Lepisosteus oculatus: one gene and its partners. The protein of the gene in region 3 interacts with the protein of the main gene of each other region in a pairwise test. Links are inferred from orthologs where the notes say so. Each region holds a gene or a part of one and is shown on either strand. Other genes may lie near its edges.

What was found.
Region 1: the proteins of wbp11 (region 3) and ddx17 interact in a two-hybrid assay, tested with the Homo sapiens proteins (3 studies listed by BioGRID and IntAct). The link is inferred for Lepisosteus oculatus from reciprocal best matches to the Homo sapiens genes WBP11 and DDX17.
Region 2: the proteins of wbp11 (region 3) and c6h5orf22 interact in binary tests that used the Homo sapiens proteins (3 or more experiments, as listed by UniProt). The two-hybrid records come from large-scale screens. The link is inferred for Lepisosteus oculatus from reciprocal best matches to the Homo sapiens genes WBP11 and C5orf22.

Annotation. Positions count from the first base shown.
Region 1 is NC_090707.1:38,634,215-38,644,349, forward strand, and holds the start of ddx17 (probable ATP-dependent RNA helicase DDX17), read left to right. Parts: upstream 1-6,093; 5' UTR 6,094-6,555; coding exon 6,556-6,611; intron 6,612-7,285; coding exon 7,286-7,442; intron 7,443-8,712; coding exon 8,713-8,809; intron 8,810-9,103; coding exon 9,104-9,237; intron 9,238-9,403; coding exon 9,404-9,469; intron 9,470-10,135. Other genes in the region: dmc1 (meiotic recombination protein DMC1/LIM15 homolog), read left to right, coding at 35-181, 564-646, 1,304-1,356, 1,828-1,869, 2,222-2,294, 2,710-2,801, 3,104-3,177, 3,367-3,481 and 3 more. UniProt on the Homo sapiens protein: As an RNA helicase, unwinds RNA and alters RNA structures through ATP binding and hydrolysis.
Region 2 is NC_090701.1:6,467,794-6,477,951, forward strand, and holds the start of c6h5orf22 (UPF0489 protein C5orf22 homolog), read right to left. Parts: upstream 4,643-10,158; 5' UTR 4,461-4,642; coding exon 4,389-4,460; intron 3,885-4,388; coding exon 3,739-3,884; intron 2,279-3,738; coding exon 2,129-2,278; intron 1,368-2,128; coding exon 905-1,367; intron 1-904. Other genes in the region: drosha (ribonuclease 3), read left to right, coding at 6,267-7,129, 8,335-8,415, 8,943-9,189.
Region 3 is NC_090707.1:39,512,034-39,522,495, forward strand, and holds the start of wbp11 (WW domain-binding protein 11), read right to left. Parts: upstream 4,719-10,462; 5' UTR 4,503-4,718; intron 3,853-4,502; 5' UTR 3,830-3,852; coding exon 3,766-3,829; intron 3,159-3,765; coding exon 3,127-3,158; intron 3,039-3,126; coding exon 2,945-3,038; intron 2,012-2,944; coding exon 1,815-2,011; intron 607-1,814; coding exon 473-606; intron 397-472; coding exon 200-396; intron 1-199. Other genes in the region: bglap (osteocalcin), read right to left, coding at 8,142-8,244, 8,341-8,464, 8,859-8,903, 9,931-9,991. UniProt on the Homo sapiens protein: Activates pre-mRNA splicing. May inhibit PP1 phosphatase activity.

The DNA of each region.
Region 1 (10,135 bases), about 880 kb from region 3:
TCTTTTTCCTCCCGCCCTTGTCCTTCGCCCCCAGAACATGGCCGACATCAAGAAGCTGAAGGCGGTGGGGATCTGCACGGTGAAGGGCATCCAGATGACCACGCGCAAGGCGCTCTGCAACGTCAAGGGCCTGTCGGAGGCCAAGGTGGACAAGATCAAGGAGGCTGCTGGGAAGATGCTGGTGAGAGCCGCGGCCAGGGGACTGATGCTCCGGACGTGGTGCCCCCTGCCCTGTGCAGACCAGAGTGCTGTGCTGGCCGCAGTGTCCAGCCCTGTGCTGACCGCAGCTCCGTGTTGTCTGCAGTGTCCGGCAAGAGCTGTGCTGACCGTGATGTCCAGCCAGGCCTGTGCTGACCAGAGGCCTGTGCTGACCGCAGTGTCCAGCCAGCCCTGTGCAGACCAGAGGCCTGTGCTGAATGCAGTGTCCAGCCAGCCCTGTGCAGACCAGAGGCCTGTGCTGAATGCAGTGTCCAGCCAGCCCTGTGCAGACCAGAGGTCTGTGCTGACCGCAGTGTCCAGCCAGCCCTGTGCTGACCGCTGCCCTGTGTGTGCATGTGTTGCAGGAGAAGGGTTTCGTGACGGCCTACCAGTACAGTGAGAAGAGGAAGCAGGTGTTCCACATCAGCACCGGCAGCGCGGAGTTTGAGTTAAGAGCGGAGTGGGGTCACCCCTCGCGCCCCCACACTCTCACAGGCATCCCCTTGCTCCCCGCTTTCCAGCCTCTGCGTTCATTTCGGTTTTTCATCAGCAGCAGGGAGTGAGAGGTCTTCCCATTGTAGTTGTATTTAATTCAAGCACAGAACAGGGGAAAAGAGGTGTACATGCTGTACAGATCCTATGCCAGATCGCTTTTTCCATTTTAATGTGTAATTATTTCAAACTGCGCCCCCTACCCTGCACTTACCCTGCCTGTGCAAATCCTGTGCAGAGCGGAGTGCTGTGCTATCCATGGTGTCCAGCCAGCCTTGTACAGACTGGAGCTCTGGACTGACCAGAGCCCTGTACTGACCAGAGCCCTGTGTGGACCGGAGCTCTGTACTGACCAGAGCTTGTACAGACCGGAGCTCTGTACTGACCAGAGCTTGTACAGACCGGAGCTCTGTACTGACCAGAGCCCTGTGCGGACCGGAGCTCTGTACTGACCAGAGCCCTGTGCGGACCGGAGCTCTGTACTGACCAGAGCCCTGTGCGGACCGGAGCTCTGTACTGACCAGAGCCCTGTGCGCACCGGAGCTCCATACAGGAACCGACAGGAACGCGTCGGTCTTGTCCTCTCACTGCCCTCCTCTCTCTGTCCTTGCAGCAAGCTGCTGGGGGGAGGGATAGAGAGCATGGCCATCACTGAGGCCTTCGGGGGTGAGTCGGCCGGCGGGCTCCCTGGGGTCCATACCGCGCAGTCGGGGCTCAGACTGCACCGCAGAAGGTCATCCAGCCAGACTGTACAGCTCTCGCACTCTACCTGCTGCCTGCCATGATATGTTGCCTTTATGATTGATGTCCAGAGCTTTAATGCTGTGAAACAGCCATGGCCTGAAGATATAATACAGTGAAAGAAGCTGTAATGTTGTAACTGAGCCCAGAATACAGTGACTGAGCCAGGAATACAGTGATAGATGTTATAATACAGTGAACTGAGCCACAGCTGAACATGATTTATGCAAAACAAGACAGTGTTAAGCCGTAGTGCTGTAAGAGAAGGTGAATTATGTGAAATAGCTGTTGAAGCTGTGATACACAGATGTACAGTATGATGATACAGTGACGGGCCCCAGCGCCCTTTACTCTGTATCCGGTTGGAGTTTCCCTTGTTGGATTGTGTTTTTACAGAATTCCGGACGGGAAAGACGCAGCTCTCCCACACTCTGTGCGGTGAGTACTGTCGCTGCAGGAGTGGTCAAGGAGGGATAAACTCCTTTCATCTACACGCCTACATGAGGGCAGTCGTGATCCGTGTTAAAATGTAAAAAACTCCTTTGAACCACAAGGGGTTTTTCCATTTCAATCGAGAACTGAAAATCAATCTGGGTATTGTAATAATATTGAAATTCGATTGTTTTTTAGTCTTTCGTGTGGCTGGAATCTGTTTTTTTTGTAAAGATGTTTCTGTTTGTGACGATAAAAACGGAAGAAATGTTACAAAGCGGCCGTGTTCGGTGCCGCGTCGCGCCGCGCTCTGAGTCTTTCCCGTCACTGTCGTCTGCGCTCGGACTCGTTCCCGCAGTGACGGCGCAGCTCCCGGGAGAGGACGGATACTCCGGAGGGAAAGTCATCTTCATCGACACGGAGAACACCTTGTATCCTTCCGGGCTCCTGCCAGCCCTGACCGCGAGGGCGAGTTCTGGGGTACTGTGTGCGGTTCTGGTCGGCGTGTCACGGGTGGCTCAGTCGTTAGCATCGCTGCCGCACAGTACTGGGGCCCTGGGTTCGGTTCTGGAGGAGTTCTGTCTGTGAGGAGTTCTCCCTGTGTTCACGGTGGTGTCCAGCAGGTGCTCTGGTTTCCTTCCAGAGTCCAAAGACATCTTAATAGGTTAATTGACTATTGGGAAAACTGGCCCTGGTGTGTGTGTGTGTCCTGTGATGGGCAGGCGTTCAGGGTGTGGCCCGCCTGGCGTGTGTTTCCCAGTCCTGTCCTGGGAGTGTCGTGTGTTTCCCAGTCCTGTCCGGGAACAGCCTTGCCTGTTGAGCTCCTTAGCCCGAGGGCGCTGCCAGCCGGCCAGACAGACTGAGGGACATCGCCGACAGGTTCAATGTGGACCACGACGCCGTGCTGGACAACGTGCTGTACGCTCGGGCCTACACCAGTAAGGGCCGTCCCAGAGCCTGGGTCTAGACGATAACTTTTTAACTCTTAACCCACGCACACCTGGGGCTGTCACGCTGACCTGTTTTAGGCTCAGATGTAGCAGCATTGTCTTGTAAAAAAGTGCACTTCCAGTCGTTCGCCTTCAGGGTGCAGAATAACAGCAGACAGCAGATCGCTTTCTGGCGCCAGTTAGCCCTGGTGACTGAGGGCCCAGCGGGAACGCAGGGGTACCCCGGGTCCAGGACCGGGCTGCGTTTCGGGGGGCCGGCGAGTGTCTTGACGTGTGCCCCCCGTTCACAGGTGAGCACCAGATGGAGCTGCTGGACTTCGTGGCGGCCAAGTTCCACGAGGAGGGCGGCGTCTTCAAGCTGCTGGTGAGACGACCTGCCCCCTCCCTCTCGCCCCTTTCACGAAATCCCTTTTATTTTTAACCTGAAGCCTTCAAACCTTCGTGTCTGAGGAGCGGGGCTCTTCGGGGCTGGAAGACGCCGCCGCGGGGCGGGGCGAGGTCCGTGTGTCCCCTGGTCGCGGCTCTCGCTCGTTTGCTCTCTCTCCCCCCGCAGATCGTGGACTCCATCATGGCGCTGTTCCGGGTGGACTTCTCCGGCCGCGGCGAGCTGGCCGAGAGGCAGCAGAAGCTGGCGCAGATGCTCTCCCGGCTCCAGAAGATCTCCGAAGGTGCGCCCCTCGCTCGCCCGCGCTCGGGGAACCCGGGGCCTGAACCTGCGTTTAATCTATCGTGTTTGCTCTGTGTCAGAGTACAACGTGGCCGTGTTCGTGACCAATCAGATGACGGCGGACCCCGGCGCCGGCATGACGTGAGTAGACTGGAGAGGGACGCTGTCTCACCCGGCTGAGTCACTGGAGTCCTGCAGGAGGTCCCCGAGTGAGCGTGGGACGGGCAGGGCAGGGGGACTCTTCCCACTCACCCCTGTGCCTCTGACTCGTGTGACTCGCGGCCGCCGCTCTGATTGGGGGGCTGCTGTGTCCGTCTCAGGTTCCAGGCAGATCCGAAGAAGCCGATTGGCGGGCACATCCTGGCGCACGCCTCCACGACGCGCATCAGCCTCAGGAAGGGGAGGGGCGAGATGCGCATCGCTAAGATCTACGACAGGTACGACGAGGCAGCGTGCCGGGACAGCGCAGGAAAATACCGGTGCAGGGGTCCCCAGTCCCAGTCCTGGGGGGACAGTGTGTCTACAGCAGGGGTCCCCAGTCCCAGTCCTGGGGGGACAGTGTGTCTACAGCAGGGCTCCCCAGTCCCAGTCCTGGGGGGGCAGTGTGTCTACACCAGGGGTCCCCAGTCCCAGTCCTGGGGGAGCTAGTGTGTCTACACCAGGGGTCCCCAGTCCCAGTTCTGGGGGGACAGTGTGTCTACACCAGGGGTCCCCAGTCCCAGTTCTGGGGAGACAGTGTGTCTACACCAGGGGTCCCCAGTCCCGGTCCTGGGGGGACAGTGTGTCTACACCAGGGGTCCCCAGTCTTGCTCCTGGGGGGACAGTGTGTCTACACCAGGGGTCCCCAGTCTTGCTCCTGGGGGAGCAGTGTGTCTACACCAGGGGTCCCCAGTCTTGCTCCTGGGGGAGCAGTGTGTCTACACCAGGGGTCCCCAGTCCCAGTTCTGGGGGGACAGTGTGTCTACACCAGGGGTCCCCAGTCTTGCTCCTGGGGGGGACAGTGCGTCAACACCAGGGGTCCCCAGTCCCGGTCCTGGGGGGACTGCAGATTTTCAGTTCAGCTGGGCTGGTAACAGCACAAAGCAGCTTGTTATCAGCTTGATTGGACCCATTAAACAGCTCCTCACAGCTCTTCAGGAAACCCAGGAGACACACTGGCCAGCCGGGACTGGGGACCCCCGCACTACACCAACACACGGGAACCCCACCCCCCTCCCCGAATTCCACAGGCCCCCCGCGGCTTCGAAAACGTCGCTGTCGCTAATCTCTCCTCGGCCGCCGGCGGTCCCAGAGCCGGGCAGTAACGGGCGCTCTCCCGTCTCGTTCCCTAGCCCCGATTTGCCAGAGAACGAGGCCACGTTCTCCATCACTCCGGGCGGGGTGGCAGACGCCAAGGAGTGAAGGAGCCACTGGGAGGGAGAGGAAGGAGGAGGGGGGCGCAGGGGGACCCCCATCCCGAGGGCTGTCAGTGGAGTGACGAGACAGACGCTGTTCCCTGTGTTCGTGGGCACCAGCGAGCCCTCGCTTCCGAAGCCTGATTGATCTGTGTGTTTCTGAAGCGCAGATTGTTCGCCAGGAGAATAAAATGGTTTATACCGTCGGTGCACCTGTGTTCAGTGGAGGGACAGACAGGGGACGGGATGTCATCTGTTTTTATTATTTCGACAGGGAGGAAAACTTGTTCCCTTTTGGTGCCGTTTGTGAAATAACTCCCTGTCTCTGCCGTTCTGAACTAATTCGGTATGGAAGCTGTTGAGGGCAGAGAACACATTAACTGTTGCCTACACAGCGGGTCTAATCATTGAACTGTGGGGCTCTGATATCCCTCACCCGGGTCCAAAGAGTCTTACAGCTACGTGCACCTGTAGAAAGCTGCACGTTTTGAGTTACCAACTGTGAAAGAAACATCCCATGTGTGTCTTAAGTGAGGAAATAATTACGTTAATTGTTAAACTGGCTGCTCAGGTCGGACCGCAAACCAACCTGGGACTGTGTGGTGGCTCTGTGGCTCAGGATCTGCCGTTGCCGGTTCAAATCCCACGGCCGGCAGAGGAATCCTACTCTGTTGGGCCCCCGAGCAAGGCCCTCAACCCCAGCTGCTCCAGGGGTGCTGTATAAATGGCTGACCCTGCGCTCTGACCCCCAGCTTCTCTCCCCGTCTGTGTGTCTCATGGAGAGCAAGCTGGGGTCTGCGAAAATTCGTAATCCACAAGACAAATTCCTAATCCAAGAAATTGTACATGGCTAATAAAGTGATCTGATCTGATCTTCTCTTAAACCAGAAGACACACCTCAGCTTCTAAGCCCATGGGTTGGTCAACCTCTGTAAATCTCTACTCCTGCTAATCCTCAAGTCTCTAAGTGATCTTCAGCACCCGGGTTAATTAAGAGAAGGGGCTGTCAATAGAGAAGGTCCAAAGTCTAGCGCCCCGTCTCTGCAGCGAGGGGGGGCGATCACGTGGCCGGCTGCGCAAACGGCGTCGCGGCCCCCCGGCGCGCACGCAGAGGCCCCGCCTCTCCGACGGGCGCCCCCCCGTATTCCAGAACCTTCTCTACGCCCACTGCGCGACGTAGCTGCGGCGCGCTCCCGCGGCCCTGCGCACGCACCGCTGTTTTTCTGTCCGCCATTTTGTCCTGTGTCGGCAGGCAGCTTTCGCAGAGCCGGGGGGAGATCAAGCCAACTTTACGCGGTTATCGCAAAAAAAAAAATCCAAAAACAAAACATCCACCCATACTCGTTATCTAGCGTTTTTTTTGTCTAGAGAAAGAAAAAAACGTTACTTTTTTTCTTTAAACGCAAAACACGGTTTCGTTTCGGGCTGTTCGTAAACGAGACGGGCAGGCCGAGGGTGCCTTCGTGTTTTGAAGACACAAAACTCGCTGTTTATATAGAGCTGATATATATTTTCCACACCGCCTTTCGGTATTCGGCTCTTCAACGGATTTAAACCCCCGGTTTCGGGAATTGGAGGCGACGGTAGTTTTCCCGGTGGCGGCTGTTGAAGACCCAGCCCGACGCTCGCCGGAGCAGAGGCGCCCTTGTTGTTGTTGTTGTTGTGTTGGTTTGTGTGGAAGATGAGGGGCGGTTCGTCATACGGAGACAGAGACCGGGACCGTGGAAGGGACCGAGGGTGAGAAAAACCTCCATTTCTTCTCGTGTGGGGTGTCTTAGCGGCCTGTATTCGCTGGAAACGCCGGGGCTGGTTGGTCTCTGTGGGGAGACGGCCCGTGGGGGGGTCCTGCGTGTTAGTGGGGGGTGGTGGTGGTGGTGTTGCCAAACGCGAGTTGCGTGATCTCGGTGGGAGTGAGCGTAAAATTGTTTTTTAAAGGTGGGAAACCATTTCTGAACTAAAAAAAACTGGATTATGTAACCAGGCTTGGAAAGACACATCACCCCCCCGCTGTCTGCGGCCGACCAGGAGACCAGGCTAAATCTACCGCATTAAAAAAACAACAACATTGCTTTATCTTTTTTTTACTGAAATGTGTCGCACAGTGATGGTAAGACGTCCCTGTCGATTTAGTTTTTTTTTTTTAAAAAAAACAAAAATATCGACCATAACGCTTTATTTTTAGCTTGGTTGTGCTGAACCTCAGACGCTCTCGAAAAGCGAGACGCTGGTATGGCAGCTAGTATAAGTGAACTCGCAAACCTTTCTGTGCCCCGTGTGTGTGTGTGTTAAAACCCCACCTCGGGTCTGTTCGTGTTCGGAGAACCCGGTTCTGGGGGGTTAGGAGCGCGCCGGGCTGTTTCTCTCCGGCGCCCGCTTCCTAAACTCTCTGCCTGTCCCCCCCTCACCCCCAGGCCTCGGTTCGGGTCCAGCCGGGGCGGGCCCCCTCCCACCAAGAAGTTCGGGAACCCCGGGGAGCGCCTGAGGAAGAAGAAGTGGGACCTGGAGGAGCTGCCCAAGTTCGAGAAGAACTTCTACACCGAGCACCCGGAGGTGGCGCGCCTGACCCAGGTGCGGCGGCGCGCCCGCTTCCGTGAACGCGCAGGGCCGCGGTCCCGGGGCACGCTGGTGTCCCGGGGGTGCTGCTGGGGGGGCTCTTCGCTTTCATGAGCAGGGCAAAGGCCAGTTCCACGCCGAAACGCGCTTGGAGTGTGGAGCCCTCTTCAGGCGACGCCCGAGCCTGAAAACGTTGTCCTCTTTCTGATTTTCAGTGTGGGACTCATCAGTACTTGTTCCTTGTGCTGCCAGCATGTACTGATGCAGCTCCCTGCTTGAGTCTCCTTGTCTTAATCTCGTCGCCAAAGTGGTATTTTAACGTGAAAGCTTCAGCAGGCATTTTGCCTTATTGGTGAGCCAACTGCAGCGAAATAGCGGAGCATAAAAATTTCCCAGCCCTGGTCCCTGCGATTCCCCTCTTCGATGCCTTTGCCTTAAATGTCAATTCGATTAATTAGGTCTTCGAAATTTTGTTTTCGGGGTCCCGGAAAGTTTTGAGGTTTAATCTGCTCGTAGGTCATTTGAAATGGTTGTTTGTTCAGGAGCATTAAGTGATTAAGAGTGACCCCAGTTCACGAGGGATTAGGGTTAAGAAGCTGAGACTGGGAGCCATCGGTGCCAAAACCGAGATTGTAGCAGTTATGGAGCCCTGATGCAGGGTGAGCTGTTGCAGCATTTCTGAGCAGCACGTGGCAGCTCACACCTTGAGTGTAGGAGCTCGCTCTGCTTTTATTTCAGTGCCGTGTTGCACCGGGTGGGCCTGAGCCCAAGTCAAGGGGTATTTTTCCCTCAGCAGCAGATAAGTGAGAAAACACACCCACAAGCAATACAACACAGACATGGGCAGGAGAATCACCAGCTGAGCAGGGTGTACATGAAGGCTGAAAGCTGTTTGTTTTCGGATTGTGTCTGCGTTCTGAGGGGGGTAAATGAAATTGGTTCAAGGGTTTGAAGGGTCCTCTTGGGTCGGATGTGCTTCATGCTAGACTCCTGACTTAGACATGGGACTGGGCTGAGAGAACAGAACCTGTCTGACAAAACTCCCCAGTTTGTCCTCCCTCCTCAGAGTCGTATTCCCAAACCAGCAGACGAGGGTAAAAATTAGAGCAGTTTCAATAAAAGGCTGATGATTTGTGGATGGTCATGTTATATCCACCTTAAATTGTTTTAAGTGTAAGAGGGGCTGGTGCTCCTGGAGGTGATCCGTCTCCCACGAAGAGCAAGTCCGCTGCGGCATGACCATCCCGCTAATCTCCCCTTCCCCCCCCCTCTGTCCCCCCCGCAGTTTGACGTGGACGAGTTTCGCCGGAAGAAGGAGATCACGATTCGGGGCACTGGGTGCCCCAAGCCCGTCACCAGCTTCCACCAGGCGCAGTTCCCCCGTGAGTATCGTCACCACCGTCGCGTTCAAGCGGTTCGAAACTGCTGTAGCTTAGGACGCCGTCTCTTACTTCCAAAGTAAAACTCAAGTGGCTCGTGGTCGTAAATACGTGGGTGGTATTCGGGTGCCTTTGGCACCGGCCCTCCCAGCCTCTTTCAGCACGTGGCTTTTGATGCAGCCAGTCGCCAAAGTGTGTAATCGATTTGAATTAGCTGTTTAACGGAGTTGACTCCTTGAGTTGACGGGCTGTCGGACAGCAGTGCAGTAGCCTCACGCCTCCCTCGCTCCCCCACAGAGTACGTGATAGACGTGCTGGTGCAGCAGAACTTCGTGGAGCCCACGGCCATCCAGGCGCAGGGCTTCCCCCTGGCGCTGAGCGGCAGAGACATGGTGGGCATCGCCCAGACCGGCTCTGGCAAAACCCTGTCGGTAAGACTCCTCCCCCTGCGTCCCCGCGCCCTGCCCCGCGGTTGGCTGGAGCTCGGAGCTCCGCAGAGCAGCGGGGCTCGCCTTGGGGCTTGTTGATGTGTTGGCCGGTGGCGAGGCGCTCGGAGCTCATACTTCAGTGCCCTTTGTTTCTGTGTTTGTCCTGCAGTACCTGCTGCCCGCGATCGTGCACATCAACCACCAGCCCTACCTGGAGCGCGGCGACGGCCCCATTGTAAGTCACAGCGCCCGGGGTGTCTGTTCGTGGCCGTGCTATGCGCCGTGTCACGTGCGCGGCTTCTCAGACGTGTTAAGGGATGGAAGGGAAGAGGTCACACCAAATGTAAACATGAGGTACAAGGAGTGGCTGTAGTTGGCCTGCCTGAGTTGTGTCCCTGAGTGTTGGTCTGACAGTCTGCCCCTGTCCCCACACTGCAGGACTCATGTCACGTCTGCCCTCTCTGTGCTGGCTTTAATGGGGCGCTGCAGTCCCAATGTTTCAAACCAGTTATTTAGTCTCAGTAACAGGTTTGTTGACGCTATAGAAGAAGTTTACAAACTTTGAATTGAGCACAAAATCGCGATGAACTTGATGAAAGGACTGTAAGTTACCACGTTGTTACAAACCCGCATTTGAGTTCCCTGTGCAGCAGACTTTTCACCGCAGAGATGTTCCAGCGCGATCTGCAGGCAGAGATAACAAGTAAATGGTTTTTGTGGGCAAAACCGTCAAGAAGTCCAGAGGGATATTTCTGTTGGATGAAAAGAGACGTATTCGCAGGCCTGCGTGTTTACAATATCGTAGGGCGGCTTGACCTCGCCGGATGTTTTGTTGCCTTGCTCTGAATCGCAGACAACGATAGCAATATGGGAATACCTGGGAATGTAGTCTGTTACGTGA
Region 2 (10,158 bases), on a different chromosome or scaffold from region 3:
TTATGTACTAGTAAATATCAGTGACAGAACAAAAATCCACATATTTCTGGCAGAATACATAAAAAAAGAGAAATGCAAGTCCTACAAAAAATCTAAAGCTGACTAGAGAATACGAAATGTTATGCTGTATTCCAAAATAAAAAGCCTACAGTCAATGGAGGAGGGCCCGACAATGGCACAAATCACCATGGATATGAAAGACACGTTCTCTTCATTTGGAGGCCCGTGGCGTTCTTTCAGAAAGGCCCATATTTGACTCAGCCAGAGATGTACATTTGTCATGGTATAAAGGAAAACACTAAAGCATCTGTATGTTGTTGTCCTTGAAGTTTTCAAAAGCATGGTCATAAATATCATCAGATATATGGACAATTTAGCTAAGAAACGGAAGGTGGACTTGGAACTAAATGCGATTTAACAGACTAATAATTTACGTTTTTTGCTAGATATTTGGCTTAATATAAATACCCTCTAACTTTTCATAACTATATTTATCCCCCTAATATAGCAATAACTTAATTAGAATAACAATATCCTACACAGTGACAAAGTGGTAAGCATTACTGCCTTACAGTGCTGGGGCCCTAATTTCAATTCCAGATCTAGGGTGCTGTCTGCATGGTTTCCTCCCGCAGACCAAAGACATACTAGCAGGTAACTTGGCTTCTGGTGTGAGTGTGCGCTGTGATGATCTGGTATCCGGTCCAGACTGTATTCTGCCTTGCACCTGTTGCTTGCCGGGGCAGGCTCTGGCTCCCCCTCAACCCTGAACTGGATGAAGTGGTTAGAAAATGAGTGGATACCTAACCCAATCTTTGTGATTATATTGCACTTCACCGCATTCAAAACATTTTTGGCTGTGGAAGAGACCGAAGAAACCCAAGGTACATATCTTTGCCATTACCTGGGTATACATTTCCTTGAAGGGGTTCTTGCATGAAAAGAAATCCAGGTCAATATCCAGAATGTAAGCATCTGTTTGCTGGATAACTGGGAGGATTCGTTTCACGGGGTCTGTTTCCGAGTCCAGTTTGATTTTTGAAAGGCAGCTGGTAGAAGATCCTCTGCTGGGCTGTGCTATTTCTCCATGGCCACTGCTACTTGTGGTGGACTTGCTGCCCCCTGCTGGTTCCACACTCATGTCTGCAGGTGTCTTCTTTGCCAAGGACTCAACTTCATCCAGCCCACCCGAAGGCTGTAATTTAGGTCTTTTAGCAGCGCACTCCACGGTTTCCTCCTCTTGCTTCCAAGCATTTTCCACTGGGATAACTCTGACAACATGCAGCTGTAAAGGCTTCTTATTTTCTAGCTGATCTTCAGGGACATAGAGCCCATCGCTTAAAAAATAATCATCTTTACTCGTCACCCTGAGACACACAGAAAAAAAATGTGAAGGTTTCTTGTTATATTGTTCAGCAGAGGACGAGGTATGAGCCACTGCAACATGAAGAATGAACTTATCTCTCACTATATTGTGCATGCATCATCGTGATTAACAGGAAAAAGTGCTAAGAAAACCTGTGTCAAGATGAAGAGTAAGCTCAATGTTGCGCTAACAGTTGTTTAGAAATTATGTTATGGACCAGTAAGTGTACTGAGAAACCATGGAGCACAATCATGAGGCCGTGTAGCTGAATATGCATTTGAACGAGAAAATCTTGTGAGCCCATCATCTAAAATTGTTTTAAGGGTTTCCTCAGAAGATTATGGGACAAGCTCAAATACCAAATGAAAGAGCAACAAAAAACAGACTGACGAAAAGTAAAAAGTCAGGCAGAAAGAAAAACCTGGCATTATGAAAAACAAAGAGCGTTAGAGATAAAAAGGCAAATAAATAAAAAAAAGTAAAGTAATTTGTGATGTATGTCATGTCATTTGCCAAACCGCTTTTTATACCATATGTCCATTTTCCACATTTCCATTGAAAATAAACACTTACACATCCAGCCATTAACATGTGACATTTCGAGATGTATTATTGATGAACTAACTGGTTGAAACAGTGAATTCTAGCCATATTCTAATGTATTAGTAGCACAATGGTTATTGTACATTTAACCAGCAATCACATAGCCTACATAGCCGATATAAAACAATGCCAAATCAACATGTTGTACTATGAATTTACCTGATTGTTGTTGTAGAGGAATCCTTCCCAACCGACATATTGTGCTCCCCCTCTGTAATCTGTTGTGCCCAGGAAGGGTGAAGCCATAGGACATTAGATAAATGCCCTGCATACACCATGGGCATAATCCAATTCTCAATACTTAGCTCACTGGAAAGATATTAAAATATCAGATAATGTTTAAGACTAAAATTCAAGGGGACAGATTAATGGCTTTTTTCCCCTAAGAATTTATGCCTACTTATTACAGAGCTCCTCGGGTCGTGGCAAACATTACTGAACTACAGACTCCAGCAAACAAAATATATCAGGTATTATAACTCAGCTTTAAACGTTAAAAGCTTTGTGGAAAGAAAGTCATGAAATACAAAATACTTGAATGCACTTAATTCAATACCGTGAAACAAAAATGAAATTGTTATTTGAAATGAGTCATTGAAAAAAATCCGATATAGACCCCTTAGTCTTCTGCTACAGTCGCCAAGTTGTGGTAGCGATAGAAATAAAGTGGGAGAGTACTAAGAAAGCAGTGGCATTTAAAAAAAACAGCAAAGATTAGAAAGGAATGTCTTATTTTACTTTCTTGCTAGAATTCTTCGAACAGGTGATGAACATAGTAGAGAAGCCTTGATTTAAAAGGGTCAGGTAGAGGTTCATTCGCTGCTAAAAGGTAGGGAAAGAAAAACAACACTTGGTCTGTGGAGCCTTCTTCAGGTGTGAAGGAGGGAGAGAAAGTACAGTAGCAGATCAATATGGCATAGCAGGACAAAACAACAGAGTAGGTGAAAGGGACGGGGAGCAGTTGGGAAATGGGCATAAAGCAGGTGAGAATGAAACTAGAGGATAACAGGATGAGAGGTGTGGAAAGCCTAAATGATTAATTTAGTAGCAAACAGTACAAAATATTTAGATATCCAGAAAGATTTTATAAAGAGACTTATACAAATTCATGAACTACACAGACACAAGGCTAATTTCATTTAAAATTAATATTAATATGTGCAAGCAATTGACACTTCTTAAAAGGAACACACTATTTAACTTAATATTGCATGGGTGATTCGGTCCCACAGCAAGCTAAAAGCAGAGCGGCAGGGTGGCGCAGTGGTAAGCATGACTGCCTCGTAGTGCTTGGGGTCCTGAGTTCAATTTTGAACCTGGGGTGCTATCGGCATGGAGTTTGTATGTTCTGCACGTGTTTGCGTGGGTTCCCTCTGGGTGTGACAGTTTCCTTCCAAGGGCATACTGGTAGGTTAATTGGCATCCAGGAAAATTGGCCCTAGATGTGAGTGTGCGTCCTGCGATGGACTGGCACCCAGTCCAAGATGTACCCTCCTTTGAGCCTGCTGCTTGCTGGGATAGGTTCTGGCTCTATGGAAACCCTGAATTGGAAGAAGCTGTTAGAAATTGGATAATGGGACACATGGACAGACAATCAGTGTTCGGATCAGGAGAGAAGAGACAGCGAGAGACATATGTTCTTTTTTTTTTTCCTCGCACAGCTATCAAACCACAGGTAAGATGTTCATGAAAAAACAACCATCATGTTCATTATCATGTTTGTTCCTGCAATCCTTTCAGAATATCTGTGACCAATGAACACATCTTACCTAAACAGCTCTTCTTTGTCGAACACGGTGTCAGCAGGCATGTTGACAGGAATAAGCAGGTCGGGGTGGGAATCTAAATGGATCATTTTGATGTTCTTTATAGGTAAATGTCTGGAGCCAATGGCGCGATAGATGTGAGGTAGCACCTGTATTAGAATAAAGTGCAGAGATTGCAATTGCGGTTTGTAAAACGAGCAACGTGATCTGTCAACTGTCGGCTTTCCCATAATTGTACTTTGTTACAACAGTGTAGCATTAATAGTACTGTTTATTCTTCGGGAAAATAGCTGGTAATGTCCAAAATGTATTTTTTTATTCGCATTTTATTTTTGTGAGGGTCTTAAACTATAACTATATATATATATTACATGAATTTACCCGGAACACTTACAGGATTGATTAAACAAAACTGACCACAGTTCGCAGTGTATATACATGAGGCTATAAATAGCATAAATACATATTGATGACAATATTCCTCTTTGTACAGTCTTCGGTATTCATTATACTACAGGGTTAAGACTGTATTTTACAATCAACTATTGCTTTCAATTTGCAATTCGTATTCTGAAAGCTGGATATATTAAGGCTGTAAGCAGGGAAAGGAAACGCAGACAATTAGATTAAAAAAAAGTGAAACTGGTACTCACATCATGATGATCTTCCACTATCCAGACGGGGACATCTTTATAAACTCTACTTGGCGCTTGAGTGGAATTCATACCACCTCCTCAAAAAAAAGAAAAAAGAAAAAACAAACCACTTGCTCTCTGCCTGCCTGCAGTTTATTTTAGCCTTGTTGACGGGGGACCCGTCTCAGTGTAACACACGCCGTTTCCTAGCCGCGATTGGTGGAGCTGTCCCGTCTCTGCAAGCGATTGGGCCGAAGTCGTCCGTCTCGGTCTTTTGCGCCGCGATGAAACACGTTGCCTTCACTTATGCTTCCCCGGTTGTTTAAATCTTAAAACATCTTTCCAGTTTCCCTTGTCTCATGAAGGCAGCGGCTAGATTTATGCGTTGCTAGGAATACATGGTACAGAGTCGAGAAGCTAAAAAACTGAAAAGCTGTTGTTTTAAAGTGATTGCGTGTTACAAACCGGAATATGCCAGTCGTCGCATCCGCTCAGAGGAAAGGAAGGCGAGCCGATATCAACAGGGATCATTTCCTGTTGAGATTATGGTGCTGAGCTTGAAGCGGCGATACACATGTAAAATGTAGGGTAATGACCAAACTTTTTATCTTGCTAGCAACAATTCTTTTAGGTAAATCGTTTTAACTCTTCTTGGAGACTGGCGATCGTTGTCTTTTGTTCTAAACATTTTATCGTTAAAGGTAAGTTTCTGTAACATGCAGCTTTGAATTTCTTTATACCGTTGTATGCTTTGGTAAAAAAAAAACGTAAAAAACGTGCAAGCGATAGGCTAGTTTGTCTCGGTTATATTAAGAACTGAACAGGCTACAATATCTCAGGCTACAATAATGTTTTTCCCCCCATGTTGTCAATTTGAACGAATTTATGTTATTTACCTATACAAGTCAGATGGTGCAGTCACGAAACACACAGCATTGTTGACGGTATTTTTATTTTATATATAAAAAAATCTTGCTCATAATTATTTATGGCGCTTTTAAACAGCAAATCATACTGATACACAACGATGCCGGACATCGGTAGCAGTCCCACACTTTAAATGGGCACGATGAAATACGTCAATATAGAAATCCAGCATCAACTTTTATTCTTTTTTTGCGTCGTATTTAACATACAGTATGCACTTCAGCCATTTAAACTTATAGACCACTTCATTGAAATATTTGATTGATTCGATGTTTAACCTTTTTTTTCGCATTTTGGCTAGAGACTCACATACGGGCAGCCTTTTGTGTGTCGTTTCCATGAATTACAGTGATACCATCACATCTTTGATGCCATACAGGATGTAGACTTAAATATGATCAGCTTTATGCCTGCCATTTCCACGAAATACAGTGATCAAAACTCCGTTTTAACTTGGTTTAAAACTGTTGCTCTCCCGTTGCTTTCTAAACAGCTCTTATTGTTTGTCAGTTAACAATGCGCAGACAGAATTGGGAATGATACTGTCAAGCACTCTGATTAAAAAAAAAAAAGAGGCATTCCTATTGCTGCGTAGGTCTGTTCATTAGGTTTAACCAAATAATTGAAAATACATTAGTGTGTGGGGAATCGAAACAGATTTGGGCACCAGTTTCATTCTTATTTCTAACAGTGTTCAGTCTAAAAATAAAGATGATCTTTTATTTCACACTGCTTTATAGACTTATCCTCTATATATTCTCTATATATCTACATGAAGATCTCAACATTTTGGTCTAGTTAGCAGTTTTTATGTATAACTAGTGCAGTGCAGTCCATCATAGAATCTTTTTGTTGAATTGCGTTTGTTGAAACCTTTTATTGTTGACTTTCTTGACTGCTGTTACTACCATTAGTGAGATGTAATGCTTGTTGTTTTTGTGTTGTTTTTGCCTCTCTTTAAGAATCAAGATGTCATTCCATCTTGGGCGCGGCTGTCCCAGGGGACGAGTCTCCTCCGGTCAGCGGGGGGGATCGCAGAGCTACCGGCCGCAGAACCTGCGCCAGATTCCTCCGCAGCAGTCCATGCCTTCCTTCCATTACGAGCCGCCGCCGCCGCCTTCGTGCCCCGGATATCCCAGTCAGGGCAGCCCTGGCTACATACCTCCGCGTCCCGATTTCATGCCGTACCCCCCGCCGGTGCCCTCCCAGGGTCAGAGTGCGCTGAACCAGTGCCCGGTTCGCCCCCCCTTCCCCAACCCCCCGATTCGGCAGGGGTTTCCCGGACCCCCGAACTTCCCCCCTCCACCCCTGCCGAACTCGTCCGCCAGCCTGTTGCCCGGACCGGCGGCCTCAGCTCAAGGCTCCTACCACTACATGATGCCCTCGGTGCCGCCGCTGCCGCCGCCCCCGCCCCTGCCGCCCCCACACCCCCCTGCGCCCCCCTCCATGTCGCAGCCCCTGGGCTACCAGCCTCCCTACTCCATGAGCTACCCCCAGCCCCCGTTCCCGCCGCCCGGCTTCGGCGGCGGCGCGGGCTACGGCCCGGGCTCCGGCTCGTTCAAGGCCGACCAGTTCCGGCACGGCGGCCAGTACAAGCCGGAGAAGCCCCAGAGCGACCGGAGGTCGCCGGAGAGGAGCAGGCGGCACGAGGAGCGCCGGCACAGGGGCTACAGCTACGGCGGCCACGGCGACAGGTACAGGCCGGAATACGGCGGGGACCGTAGGGACCGGGGGCGGAGCCCGGACAGGCGGAGGCAGGAAGGGAGCCGCCACAGGTCCGAGCATGAGCGAGGCAGGACGCCGCCTCGGCACAGGAGTCGGGAACGTAGCAGGTAAGTTGAGCTCGACTGGCACGTGCACATCGTCGACGCATGGATATCCTTTAAATGCGCACACTGAAATGCATCAGTGTTGAAACCCAGGGCCCGCTTTTATTCATTTTATGTATCGGATTTAAAATATAGCATGCACGAGCTAAAATGTGACCCAGACCTATAGGGTTGTGTAATGTAAGTGTCTTTCATTGTTTCATAACGAGCTAAGAGGTCCCCTGTCTCTTCTAATTCTAGACTTCTTATAGGACACTTGATGTTTTGAACAAGTACTTGTACTTGATGTATAGAATATGTGATGTTTCTCTTTCCTGCGATTTTCTCCAACACATCCATCAGAATAGATTGTTATAGTGTAATATATCTGTAATAGATTGAGTTGTAATTGTTCAAGTTCTTATAAACTGCCTTGGTAGAAAAGATGTGATCCCTCCTCTCCAGGATTCAGATATGAAGGGCTTACAAGTAATATTTATTAAGTATCACTTATTTTGCAAGTGATGCATGTCCTGATCATGCCAAATAGGGGAATGTGCAATCAGAATTTCAGTATTTCAGGATTTTGATTGCTTTCACCACAATTTCAAAGTCACAAATTTCCTTCCTTTTATTTAAGTCCAAAAAAGGTAAATCCTTCATTTCTTTCTGACCACATTCTAATGGACTACTAAATGTAGTCAGGCTTTTTAAGACTACTGGTATTGAATGACTTCCGTATACTGCATCTTCTCTAAATAACATAGTTGTACTGCAGTACAGTGCCAGATAATTTCCATGGTTGATATCTTTATTAAGCACTTTTCTCAGAGCTCTTGTACTGCCCTGCCGGAAGAGCGTTATCCAACTCTGCAGGAAAGCAACCTCTGGGGTGGTGCTTGACAGCACTTTTGTGAACACAGCTGAAGCTGACTTGATTTATGTAATTTGTCTCCTTTTAATTTTAAAATGTTTTTTTAGAAACAAAAATCTTCATCATGTACAGTTAAACAAATGAGAATGTATTATTAATACATCCCCAAACAAACAAAATACAGTGGGAAAATTAATACTGTGTTTGCTGATGGGTTATTTCACACTCTTCTCACTACGTGGGACATTATAGAGATTAGGAAGAGATTTTGAGATTATCACAATGATTGTGTTGTTTTAATTAGACAGTCAAATATGCATTTCAGAAAATAATACAACTCTGTGTTTAATTTTAGGGATAGGCATCGGCACAGAGAAAGCAGGAGATCACCTTCTACTGAAAGGCCACACAGGAAAGACTACAAGAGGCCCAGGAGGTGGTATTGTGGTTTTAAACTCACTGTTGTCTACATTCTCTTTATCTATGTCAGTATTAACAATGTGCCACAAGGTGTTGGCTTTTCAAAATCCAAGTTTTAAAACCGTTCGCTAGATGTTCTTTTTTTCCACTATTTGCATCATTACAGGAAAGGAGGGAAGATTGATTCACATTCCAAATATGATTCATATCATATTCATTCCAGATATGATTTAACCCAAATAAAGAGAATTGTTTTAATGAGGAATGATATTCAATATTATAGAGTCGCCTGGGGTGAAAAAATCCAATTAAAAAATAAGAATTGTCTTAAATCCTTTTAGGACAATGTTGATTTTCCTCCCAGGAAAATGAAAGAGATTCAAGAAAGACTCTTGAGAAAGCAAAAGAGATAACTCAGAACTGCAGATTGTTTGATGTTAAAGTTCCAGTTTTGGCTTATAAAGGAGTGAACCACAAGTATTTGTTTGATTCACTGTTTCTCGGATCATCCCGAATTTTATTTTGTGATAATTGGTGCCATAGCTCACGGAGTCGCTCTAGCAGTCGGGACAGGAAGAGAATGCGCTGGGAAGACGACAGAGAGAGGAGGATGGATAGTCAGGCAGGTAACAGAGAGAGGAGCTACTCCTTTATGAAGAGCAAAGAGCCGGAAGAGACTCCTGCCGAGAGAATGGAAGATGAAAAAGAGGAGGAGGAGCTTCTCAAGCCTGCCTGGATTCGTTGCACTCATGCTGAGAACTACTACTCCAATGATCCAATGGACCAGGTGGTATGTATGACACCAGCTGGCATCAAAGCAGACCCGAGATTCTCGGAAGGGCTCCTGCTTCGATTATTCTATATAAAATCATCCGAAGTTCAACTTGTCAAAGCGTTACGTTTAAGGAACATAGGTAATGAAATGCAGTTAGGTTGTTTCTGGAGTGGCAAGGCAAAATACTCCAGGCAAAACTGTTCCAACTTCACCTCACTTATATGGGTGAAACTTATGTGAAATTTGTATCCTACTTAATGGATTAAGACCGAGCTCTCCAGATGTTTTCATGCCCCTGATGAAATGGGAAGAAAAAAACATGTAACAGAGCAGGTGCATCAAAGAACTTGTGACTTTGATGTGGTTTGAGTTAAGAGCTGCATCAGTGTGCGACCAACAGAGGAACAAATAGAGGTTAGTTCCACGCTGACAAGTAGATAAACACAGTGTTATGGCTTTTGAGCCTTCTTCTGGTGTGGGCTTGACATCTTTGCAGCAGTTAAGCAAATGTAACAGACAGACAAAAACATATTTTTTGCAGACTATCCAGTTGCGAGAAGATTGGTGGTGTGTTTAGTTTCTTGTTTTTTTTTTATTAAGCAGGTATGTTTTTCTTAATTGCTTCTAGATTCTAGTAGTAAATTAGACTTGTGTTTGTGCTAGAGGTCACTAGGAAGCAGAGATGACAGTTATATGTTTACATTTTTTAATAATTTAAAATTACCTTCCTCAATTAAACTTTTTGGCAAATAATCAAATAATATTACAAATGCAGTATTTGAGTAATTATTCTTGTAGACATGCATTTCTAAGCCTGGAAGAGGTCTTGAGACTTAATTGGATATGTTTAACCCTGCTGCACTGGATTACAACTGCTACCCATTGAATGCGACCTACAAAACCTTTTGAATGATTCTCCTTAAGAATTTGGGGAACCATCTTAAAATAAAACAGCAGACCATTTCTTATTCTCCTGAAGCATAA
Region 3 (10,462 bases):
CCTGCACACTACTGTACACTGACACTGCACTGAGAGAGAGAGGGGTTAATACACACACTCCTCCTGCACACTACTGTACACTGACACTGCACTGAGAGAGAGAGAGGGGTTAATACACAGTAATTCAATTCAATTCAAGGTGCTTTATTAGCCTGAGCGATGGGTACAATCAGTGTTGCCAAAGCAAGTAGCACAGTACCTGTCTCGGGGTCGTAGGCTGTGCTGTCCTCCTCCCTCCTGTAGGCGGCCGGGGGCAGGACCCCTCCCCTCCGCGAGTACAGCTGCACCAGGTGGGGCGGGGGCTGCCCGGGGGGCGGGCCGGGGGGCTTGCGTCCGGGAGGCAGGCGCGGGACGCCCTGTATGGACGTGGGGGTCGACAGCGACACAAAGCCCTTCCTAGGAGACGAGGAGACAGGTTAACGCGCACGCACGCCTCCCCGCGGCAAGCCCACGCGCCCGCGGCCACACTGACCCGTACGCCGAGGTCTTCTTCAGGATGGAGGGCGGCTGGGCTCCCGGCAGCGGGATGTCCTGGATCAGGATGCTGGAGGGGGCATGAGGCATGTCCGGCAGAGGAATACTGTCCACCTCCACCAGCTCGGCATTCTGGGACAGAGACAGGAGCAGCAGGGGACGTGAGCGTGAGGAACGTGGTCGTGTCTCCTGTTGTCCAGTGTCAGTAATGGACACAGTCCAGCACAGGCAGCTGGCCCTGCTCCGAGACACACACAGTCCAGTACAGACAGCTGGCCCTGCTCCGAGACACACAGTCCAGTACAGACAGCTGGCCCCGCTCCGAGACACACACAGTCCAGTACAGACAGCTGGCCCCGCTCCGAGACACACAGTCCAGTACAGACAGCTGGCCCCGCTCCGAGACACACACAGTCCAGTACAGACAGCTGGCCCCGCTCCGAGACACACACAGTCCAGTACAGACAGCTGGCCCCGCTCCGAGACACACACAGTCCAGTACAGACAGCTGGCCCTGCTCCGAGAGACACACACAGTCCAGTACAGACAGCTGGCCCTGCTCCGAGACACACACAGTCCAGTACAGACAGCTGGCCCTGCTCCGAGACACACACAGTCCAGTACAGACAGCTGGCCCTGCTCCGAGACACACACAGTCCAGTACAGACAGCTGGCCCTGCTCCGAGACACACACAGTCCAGTACAGACAGCTGGCCCTGCTCCGAGACACACACAGGCCAGTACAGACAGCTGACCCCGCTCCGAGAGAGACACACACAGTCCAGTACAGACAGCTGGCCCTGCTCCGAGACACACACAGTCCAGTACAGACAGCTGGCCCTGCTCCGAGACACACAGTCCAGTACAGACAGCTGGCCCCGCTCCGAGACACACACAGGCCAGTACAGACAGCTGGCCCCGCTCCGAGACACACACAGTCCAGCACAGGCAGCTGGCCCTGCTCCGAGACACACACAGTCCAGTACAGACAGCTGGCCCTGCTCCGAGACACACAGTCCAGTACAGACAGCTGGCCCCGCTCCGAGACACACACAGGCCAGTACAGACAGCTGGCCCCGCTCCGAGAGAGACACACACAGTCCAGTACAGACAGCTGGCCCTGCTCCGAGACACACACAGTCCAGTACAGACAGCTGGCCCCGCTCCGAGACACACACAGTCCAGTACAGACAGCTGGCCCCGCTCCGAGACACACACAGTCCAGTACAGACAGCTGGCCCCGCTCCGAGACACACACAGTCCAGTACAGACAGCTGGCCCCGCTCCGAGACACACACAGTCCAGTACAGACAGCTGGCCCTGCTCCGAGACACACAGACCTTGACAGAGTCGAAGTAGAGAGACAGCTGGCCCCGCTTGGTCTCGTACTCGTGCTCCAGGCGGCGCAGCTCGCGGTACGTGTCCGGGTTCTCCTTCTCGTACAGGCGCACGATCCGCTCAAAGGTCTCGCGCAGCTTCTTCCTCTTGTCCCGCAGAACCTTCTCGTTCAGCAGCGGCACCTGGACCGGGTTAAACTCTGAGAGAGACGGACCGGGTCACACACGGAAACAGAGACCGGGTCTCTCTCTCACACAGAAAGATCAGGTCAGGCAGAGAGAGTGAAGGCACTCAGGCCATTCTACACGATAAGAAGGCTCTTCAATATTAACCCAACAACAAGAATCTGGCTCCAGTATTTCAAAGGGTAACCCAGCCCATTGCCCTATACTGCAGTGAAGTGTGGGGTCCCCTAACAACAGGTACAGGGCCGAATAAGGCCAGTACCCACTATTGATAAACACAGAAAAGAATATTAAAGTATTGGCGACACCTAAGAAACAGCGACCAAAACTTCTACTCCTATTCAGTCTGTGATCTCCTGTCCCAGCCTGAGGAACAGACAGTGAGCCTGTCTCTCAATAATAATAATACAGTGTGTGATCTCCTGTCCCAGCCTGAGGAACAGACAGTGAGCCCGCCTCTCAATAATAATAATACAGTGTGTGATCTTCTGTCCCAGCCTGAGGAACAGACAGTGAGTCTGTCTCTCAATAATAATAATACAGTGTGTGATCTCCTGTCACAGCCTGAGGAACAGACAGTGAGCCTGTCTCTCAATAATAATTGTGTGTGTGATCTCCTGTCCCAGCCTGAGGAAAAGACAGTGAGCCTGTCTCTCAATAATAATAATACAGTGTGTGATCTCCTGTCCCAGCCTGAGGAACAGACAGTGAGCCTGTCTCTCAATAATAATACAGTGTGTGATCTCATGTCGCAGCCTGAGGAACAGACAGTGAGCCTGTCTCTCAATAATAATAATACAGTGTGTGATCTGTCCCAGCCTGAGGAACAGATAGCGAGCCTGTCTCTCAGTAATAAATAATAATAATAATAATAATACAGTGTGTGACACAAGAGACTGTCAGGCAGTTAGTGATTAACTAGGACTAGTTAATTAACACATCATTACCCATCTCATCCAGTTTCTCCATGTCTCTGATGATCTGTCTGGGGTCCTTCATTTTCAGCACTGCTGCTCGGACCATCATCCTCTGCTTCTTGTTCTGGAGAGAGGAGAGGAGAGGGGTTCACAGAGGCAAGGAGAGAGAGAGACAGACAGGAGAGAATGGCAGACACTCCAGACAGTCTCACCTTTTTCAGCTCCCTCTTCCGGGCCTCCTTCCCTGCAGAGGACAGGAAGGGACAGTGTCAGATAAGCCAGAGTGTCCAGTTCGCATCCCAGCCCCATTGATACCAGTGTAATGCCAGCATAACGCTATTACAGTGGACACAGCTGTACTCACGGGCCTGGTCAGTGGACAGTATAACGTTATTACAGTGGACACAGCTGTACTCACGGGCCTGGTCAGTGGACAGTATAACGTTATTACAGTGGACACAGCTGTACTCACGAGCCTGGTCAGTGGACAGTATAACGTTATTACAGTGGACACAGCTGTACTCAAGGGCCTGGTCAGTGGACAGTATAACGTTATTACAGTGGACACAGCTGTACTCAAGGGCCTGGTCAGTGGACAGTATAACATTATTACAGTGGACACAGCTGTACTCAAGGGCCTGGTCAGTGGACAGTATAACATTATTACAGTGGACACAGCTGTACTCAAGGGCCTGGTCAGTGGACAGTATAACGTTATTACAGTGGACACAGCTGTACTCAAGGGCCTGGTCAGCGGACAGTATAATGTTATTACAGTGGACACAGCTGTACTCAAGGGCCTGGTCAGTGGACAGTATAATGTTATTACAGTGGACAGGAGCTGTACTCACGAGCCTGGTCAGTGGGGTTCATGAATTTCCCACTCTTGGTGGAGGACGTCGATCTTCGCCCCATGGTGGCGCTGTCTCCCTCTCACCCTGAAACACAGAGAAGGGCAGTCAGCTCTTGAGGACCTGGAGACGCTCCAACAGACACAGACACTCCCAGACCATCACAGACCCCCAAACCTGCTGCAGGAAAGCCCCTCAAGCCCGTGTGTGGACACAAGACGACCTGCCTGTCTTCCAGTGTCCTTGCTTCACGCTACAGGCGCTCTCGTGCGGGATCAGTGTGGTCTGGCAGCAGGGGTGATCAGGCCAGCCCAGTCCATCACTGGGGTACAGCTCCCCACTGCTGTGGACATGTTTACACCTCGCGGTCTCAGGAAGGCGGGGAGTAATGCTAAGGACACCAGCCTTCCCTCTGGTGAGAGTTATAGGAGCAGAGAGGCACGAATCCCCGGGTCCGGAGACAGTTTCTTCCCACAGGCTGCCAGACTCCTGAACTCTGCCCCTACCACTGCCTCACACTGCCTGTGCCGTGTGTTGCCGTGTGTTGTTGCTGCTGCTGTTGCAACGTTTTAACTGCTGCTGCTGCTGTTTCAACGTTTGGCGTTTCCTTAACGTCTCTGCACTGGCGCACACATGCAGAGAAGCACTGCCCTGCACTTGTGAAAAAGATGGATAAACCGGACTGAGAGCCGAGGACGGAGAAGCACACGCACGGTCTAGAGACCGGAGACACTGACCCAGACGCGAACACGGATCCAGAGGCAGACCTTGCTTCTTCCAGAGCACCGGCCGTTCCGTGAAGCCAAGATCCGGTAATCACCGGGAGCGGGTTTTGAGCCCCGGGTCCCTTATCAAACACTCGCGCGCTGTGTTTACTGCCTGGATTCAAATGAGCCCTTAGCGCTACCGGCCGCCATCTTCGCCCGCCATCGCCGGAAAATACGTCACGTCCGCGCTTCCTGAGGCCGTGTACCCTCATCATGTGACAGGGGCCTCCCTCGTTTTCAATTTCAGCTTTCTTGATTAAGATTAAGATCACCTTATTGGCCATATATAATTTCTTGCATTAGGAATTTGTCTTTTCACAAAGCTCAGCCTGCTCTCCATGAGACACACAGACAGGGAGAGAAGCTGGGGGTCAGAGCGCAGGGTCAGCCATTTATACAGCACCCCTGGAGCAGTGGGGGTTAAGGGCCTTGCTCAGGGGCCAACGGAGCAGGATTCCTCTGCCGGTTGCGGGATTTGAACCGGCAACCTTCCGGTCACAGGCACAGATCCTTAGCCACAGAGCACCACCCCAAAAGAACTGCTCCAGGTGAGGCACAAACTCACAACCTTGCATTGCTCTGCTCTGTGCTGTTATATCAGTATTGCATGCTAACCGATGGCTCTCCCTATTCTCCATCATAATCGTGTGCGTGGGTATAAACACACCCCAGACCCTTGACTCTTTTCTACCCCTTTTCTGAGTTTTTATGTATTGCAGCTGTCTCTGCAATAAACAGAGCTGTGTTCAGAATCCAGCGTATTGACGACTGACTGGGATTTGATTGGGACTGGGGTGAAGACAGGGGTTGTATTGTATGCATGGCTGTGGGCTGTACACACATCACAGAGGGAGATCTCACGAAGCCAGATTACTCAGTCTGCAGGGCATTACTGCCGCTGAGATTTAGAGATGGCCTTTCACCGTTTCAGCAGAGTAAACCTTACATTCACGATCTCTTAAACCCGCACACTGTTAATACTGCTTGTTGCAGCTCAGTGTGAGCAGAAACTCAAACTGCTGGTCGGGCTGAGCACAGCGCTTCAGTATATCACAGTGTGCCCTGCAGTGAGGAAAGTGGTGTTTGCACTGAAACGGTTCAGAAGGTTTCCTGGCTGTACATTAGTGCAAATCATCAAGCGGGGGTTTCATGAACTAGCTGGTAATGTTCTCATATCTAATTCTGTCCACTGCGAATGTAGTTCTGTTCTCTGTAGCTCTGCACTGTGATCTAAACATTTCTTACAGCAATTTCCTGATGTAATACACTCTCTGGACTGTGCAGACAACCTCATTAAATACTCCACAGGGCACAACTAGGCTGATTTTTAATAGGAAATCAATTCACACCATCTGAAAATAAAATTAGAGCCTACAACATATAGACATTTCTACCTGGCTTAAGACTTTCTGCATCCGGGTGGGGGGGACTCCCACCTGTGCTACTTAATTCACAACAATGTTGGGAAAAGGAAATATCCCGGTACCGGAAAACAGCCTTTATTGAGTTGATGATGGTGATGATTCCTCCGGCTCCAGTCTTACTCTCCTGTTGCTCAAATCAGGACACACTTCCACTCCGAGGAGGGCGCCGCACTGTACAGGAGCCCTGCGGCCCCCCCCCAACAGCCCAGCGAGCGGAAACACATCCAGACAATAGTGTACAAGTGTGAAGCCCTCCAGCCTCAGGCAGAGCCCCACGTCAGTGCCATCCTCCTGCCAGCACCTGCCTGCGTTTATCTGGACACCTGTCACCTCCGGGTTGGATTGATCTGCGATTCCTTGCCAGGCGTCTTCTCTGGCTCCTGCAGAGCTCCAGGGTGCCGTAGCTCCACTCTATCCCAGCGCTTCCTTCAGGAGCTGTAGCTCCTGGTCCCGCATGCAGACTGTTGCTGTCGCCTGAACCCTCTAACTGGACTGTAACCGGATAACTGAAGCCTGAGTTCACCTGAACGCAGCTGTAAGGTGAAGTCTACCGGGATGATTTGAGAAATCCTGAATTAGTTAAACCTGCTTTATGAATGTATTTACCCAGATATATACTCACACACAACTTACCCTGACACACATGTACACACACATACACCCAGATCTATACACACACAGCCTGACACACATGTACACCCAGATATATATACACACACACAACTTACCCTGACACACATATACACACACATACACCCAGATATACACACACACACCTACCCTGACACACATATACACCCAGATATACACACACACACCTACCCTGACACACATATACACCCAGATATACACACACACACCTACCCTGACACACATATACACCCAGATATACACACACACCTACCCTGACACACATATACACCCAGATATATACACACACACACTTACCCTGACACACATATACACCCAGATATATATATATACACACACAGCCTGACACACATATACACACACATACACCCAGATATATAAACACACAGCCTGACACACACACACACAGCCTGACACACATATACACACACATACACCCAGATATATACACACACCTCCTGACACACACAGACCCACATACACACCTCCTGACACACACAGACCCAGATACACACCTCCTGACACACACATAGACCCAGATACACACCTCCTGACACACACAGACCCAGATACACACCTCCTGACACACACATAGACCCAGATACACACCTCCTGACACACACAGACCCAGATACACACATCTCCTGACACACACAGACCCACATACACACACCTCCTGACACACACAGACCCAGATACACACACCTCCTGACACACACAGACCCACATACACACACCTCCTGACACACACACGCCCAGATACGCACACCTCCTGACACACACATACACTCACCCTGACAATCATACACACCTCCTGACACACACACAGACCCAGATACACACACACCTCCTGACACACACAGACCCAGATACACACCTCCTGACACACACACGCCCAGATACACACCTCCTGACACACACAGACCCACAAACATACACCTCCTGACACACACATACACTCACCCTGACAATCATACACACCTCCTGACACACACATAGACCCAGATACGCACACCTCCTGACACACACATAGACCCAGATACACACACCTCCTGACACACACACACACGCACGGCTGACAGACACAGGGAGAGAGAGGTGCTCTGGAAGTGTTTATTTCGGCTTGCTTGGAGCCCGGCGGCGCACAGCAGGATGTTCAGGCGGCGCGGCGCGGCCCGGTCACGTGACACGGCAGGTCACACGAGACGTCAACACGCAGTCGGCAGACCCGAGTCGGAATCTTATACTCCGGATCCCATTCCTAACTGCTTCAGCTTATACCAACTGGACTAACATAAACATACTGTAGAAATACTATACATCCAGAAAAAAACTTTCCTGGAAGAAGAGGCACTTATGTATAAATTCTTCTCTTTAACAGGAGGACTTTCGCGTTTGTTCAGATACAGTTTGTCGGTTCATAGGCAGATGTTCTTCACGTGTGGCCCCGCTCCAGTCTTGAAAGGGTTAATTCTCACTGATGGGCGTGGCTTCACCAGGACTGGGCGGGGCTACGTCCTCTTGGGGGCGTGGTCTAGTAGGGGATTGGTCCGTAGTACTGGGTGTAGGCGGCGACGATTCCGGCGGTCTCGGCCATGTGCTCACAGGCCAGGTTGACTTCACACACCTCCCGCAGGCTGGAGAGAGAGGGAGACGAGTAGATGATGCACACTCGGCCCACCCGGGCCTGTCCCCTCCCCCTGCCCCCCTCAGGCGAGCACACGGCCCCTCACCTCTCCAGCTGCTGCAGCGACAGTCCGGCGCCGCCAGCGCCCCCTGCGGCACCCCCTGCAGCCCCGATGTTCCTCTTCAGTCTCTTGACGAAGGAGGAGGCCAGGTCTCTCTTCACAAACACTTCTGCAACACGGCAAGAACATGCCAGGTCACACAGAACCTGCCTCACTGCGCTGTTCCCTCTAAAATATAATCAGGGCTCCCACTGACACACCCTGGCTCCTCCCCTCCTCCCACTGACACACCCTGGCTCCTCCCCTCCTCCCACTGACACACCCTGACTCCTCCCTCTCCCTCCCTCTCTGACACACCCTGACTCCTCCCCTTCCCCCTTTGAAACACCCCGACTCCTCCCTCTCTCCCTTCTGACACACCCTGACTCCTCCCTCTCTCCCTTCTGACACACCCTGACTCCTCCCTCTCCTTCCCTCTCTGACACACCCTGACTCCTCCCATGTCTGCTGAGCCCAGTGGGCGGGAGAGGCAGGAGGACCCCAGCATGTAGGAGGATTCTCACCTTCTGTGCTATGAGAATCCGGGGCGCTGACAGAGACATCGGAGTCTGGAATTTAAAGATAGGATCAGAAAGTTCAGCCTCAAGAGTCTGTACATGTGTGTGTGCAGTTTATCCAGTAAAAGTCTCGACGGACATAAGATGAACAAGCACACAGACAGGTACACAGACAGGTGGACAGACTCACCTCCAGCGGACAGACTCACAGACAGACAGGCAGGCACACCGACAGATACACAGAAACACAGACAGACTCACCTCCACTGGACTGACACACAGACATATAAACACAAACACACAGACTCACCTCCAGTGGATAGACACACAGACAGATAGACACACAGACAGACAAACACACCTCCAGTGGACAGACACACAGACAGACTCACCTCCAGTGGACAGACACAAAGACATATAGACACAGACAGACAGACACATGGACAGATAGACTCACCTCCAGTGGACAGACACACAGACAGACAGACAGACTCACCTCCAGTGGACAGACACAAAGACATTTAGACACAGACAGACAGACACATGGACAGATAGACAGACAGACAGATAGACTCACCTCCAGTGGACAGACAGACAGACAGACAGACAGACTCACATCCAGTGGACAGACACACAGACAGACAGACAGACTCACCCCCAGTGGACAGACACACAGACAGACAGACAGACAGACTCACCCCCAGTGGACAGACACACAGACAGACAGATAGACTCACCTCCAGTGGACAGACACACAGACAGACAGACAGACAGACAGACAGACTCACCCCCAGTGGACAGACACACAGACAGACAGACAGACAGACAGACAGACTCACCTCCAGTGGACAGACACACAGACAGACAGACAGACAGATAGACTCACCCCCAGTGGACAGACACACAGACAGACAGATAGACTCACCTCCAGTGGACAGACACACAGACACACAGACAGACACACAGACAGACAGATAGACTCACCTCCAGTGGACAGACACACAGACAGATAGACAGACAGACATACAGATAGACTCACCTCCAGTGGACAGACACACAGACAGACAGACAGACTCACCCCCAGTGGACAGACACACAGCTGTCAGGGCACACAGCACGAGGACGGTCAGGGTCTTCATCTTGTCTTGCTGTTTCAGTGAGGTGAACAGTGTGGTTGTCTCTTCCTGCCACCCTGTTTATAGCTCTGTTCCCAGCCCGCCTTGGGGGACACGCTGCCTGCGGATTGGCCGGCAGCTGCGACACCCCTGGACACAGCCCGGACACGCCCTCTCCCTCCTCCTCACCGCGGACAAGGCAGCTGTCGTTCCGGGCGCGGCCGCCAGATGGCGGTGTGCCCCGGCTGCGCGGGCGATGCGCACTCGTCTGCGGCTCGTGAACCCGCTGACCGCGCGCGGCGGCCCCCCTCCTCCCCGGGCCAGCGTGTCGCCCTCAGCAGCGTGTCTGTGGGTCTCGAGGAACGGAGCTTCTCTGAGTGACACCAGCTGTGCTGCAGAGCCGTACTGTTTAGAAAAGTAAATCACACCCTGACATTTCTGATCCGCACTACTGTATAATTCACTGCTACAGGGAACCTTATTAACCTGTGAAAA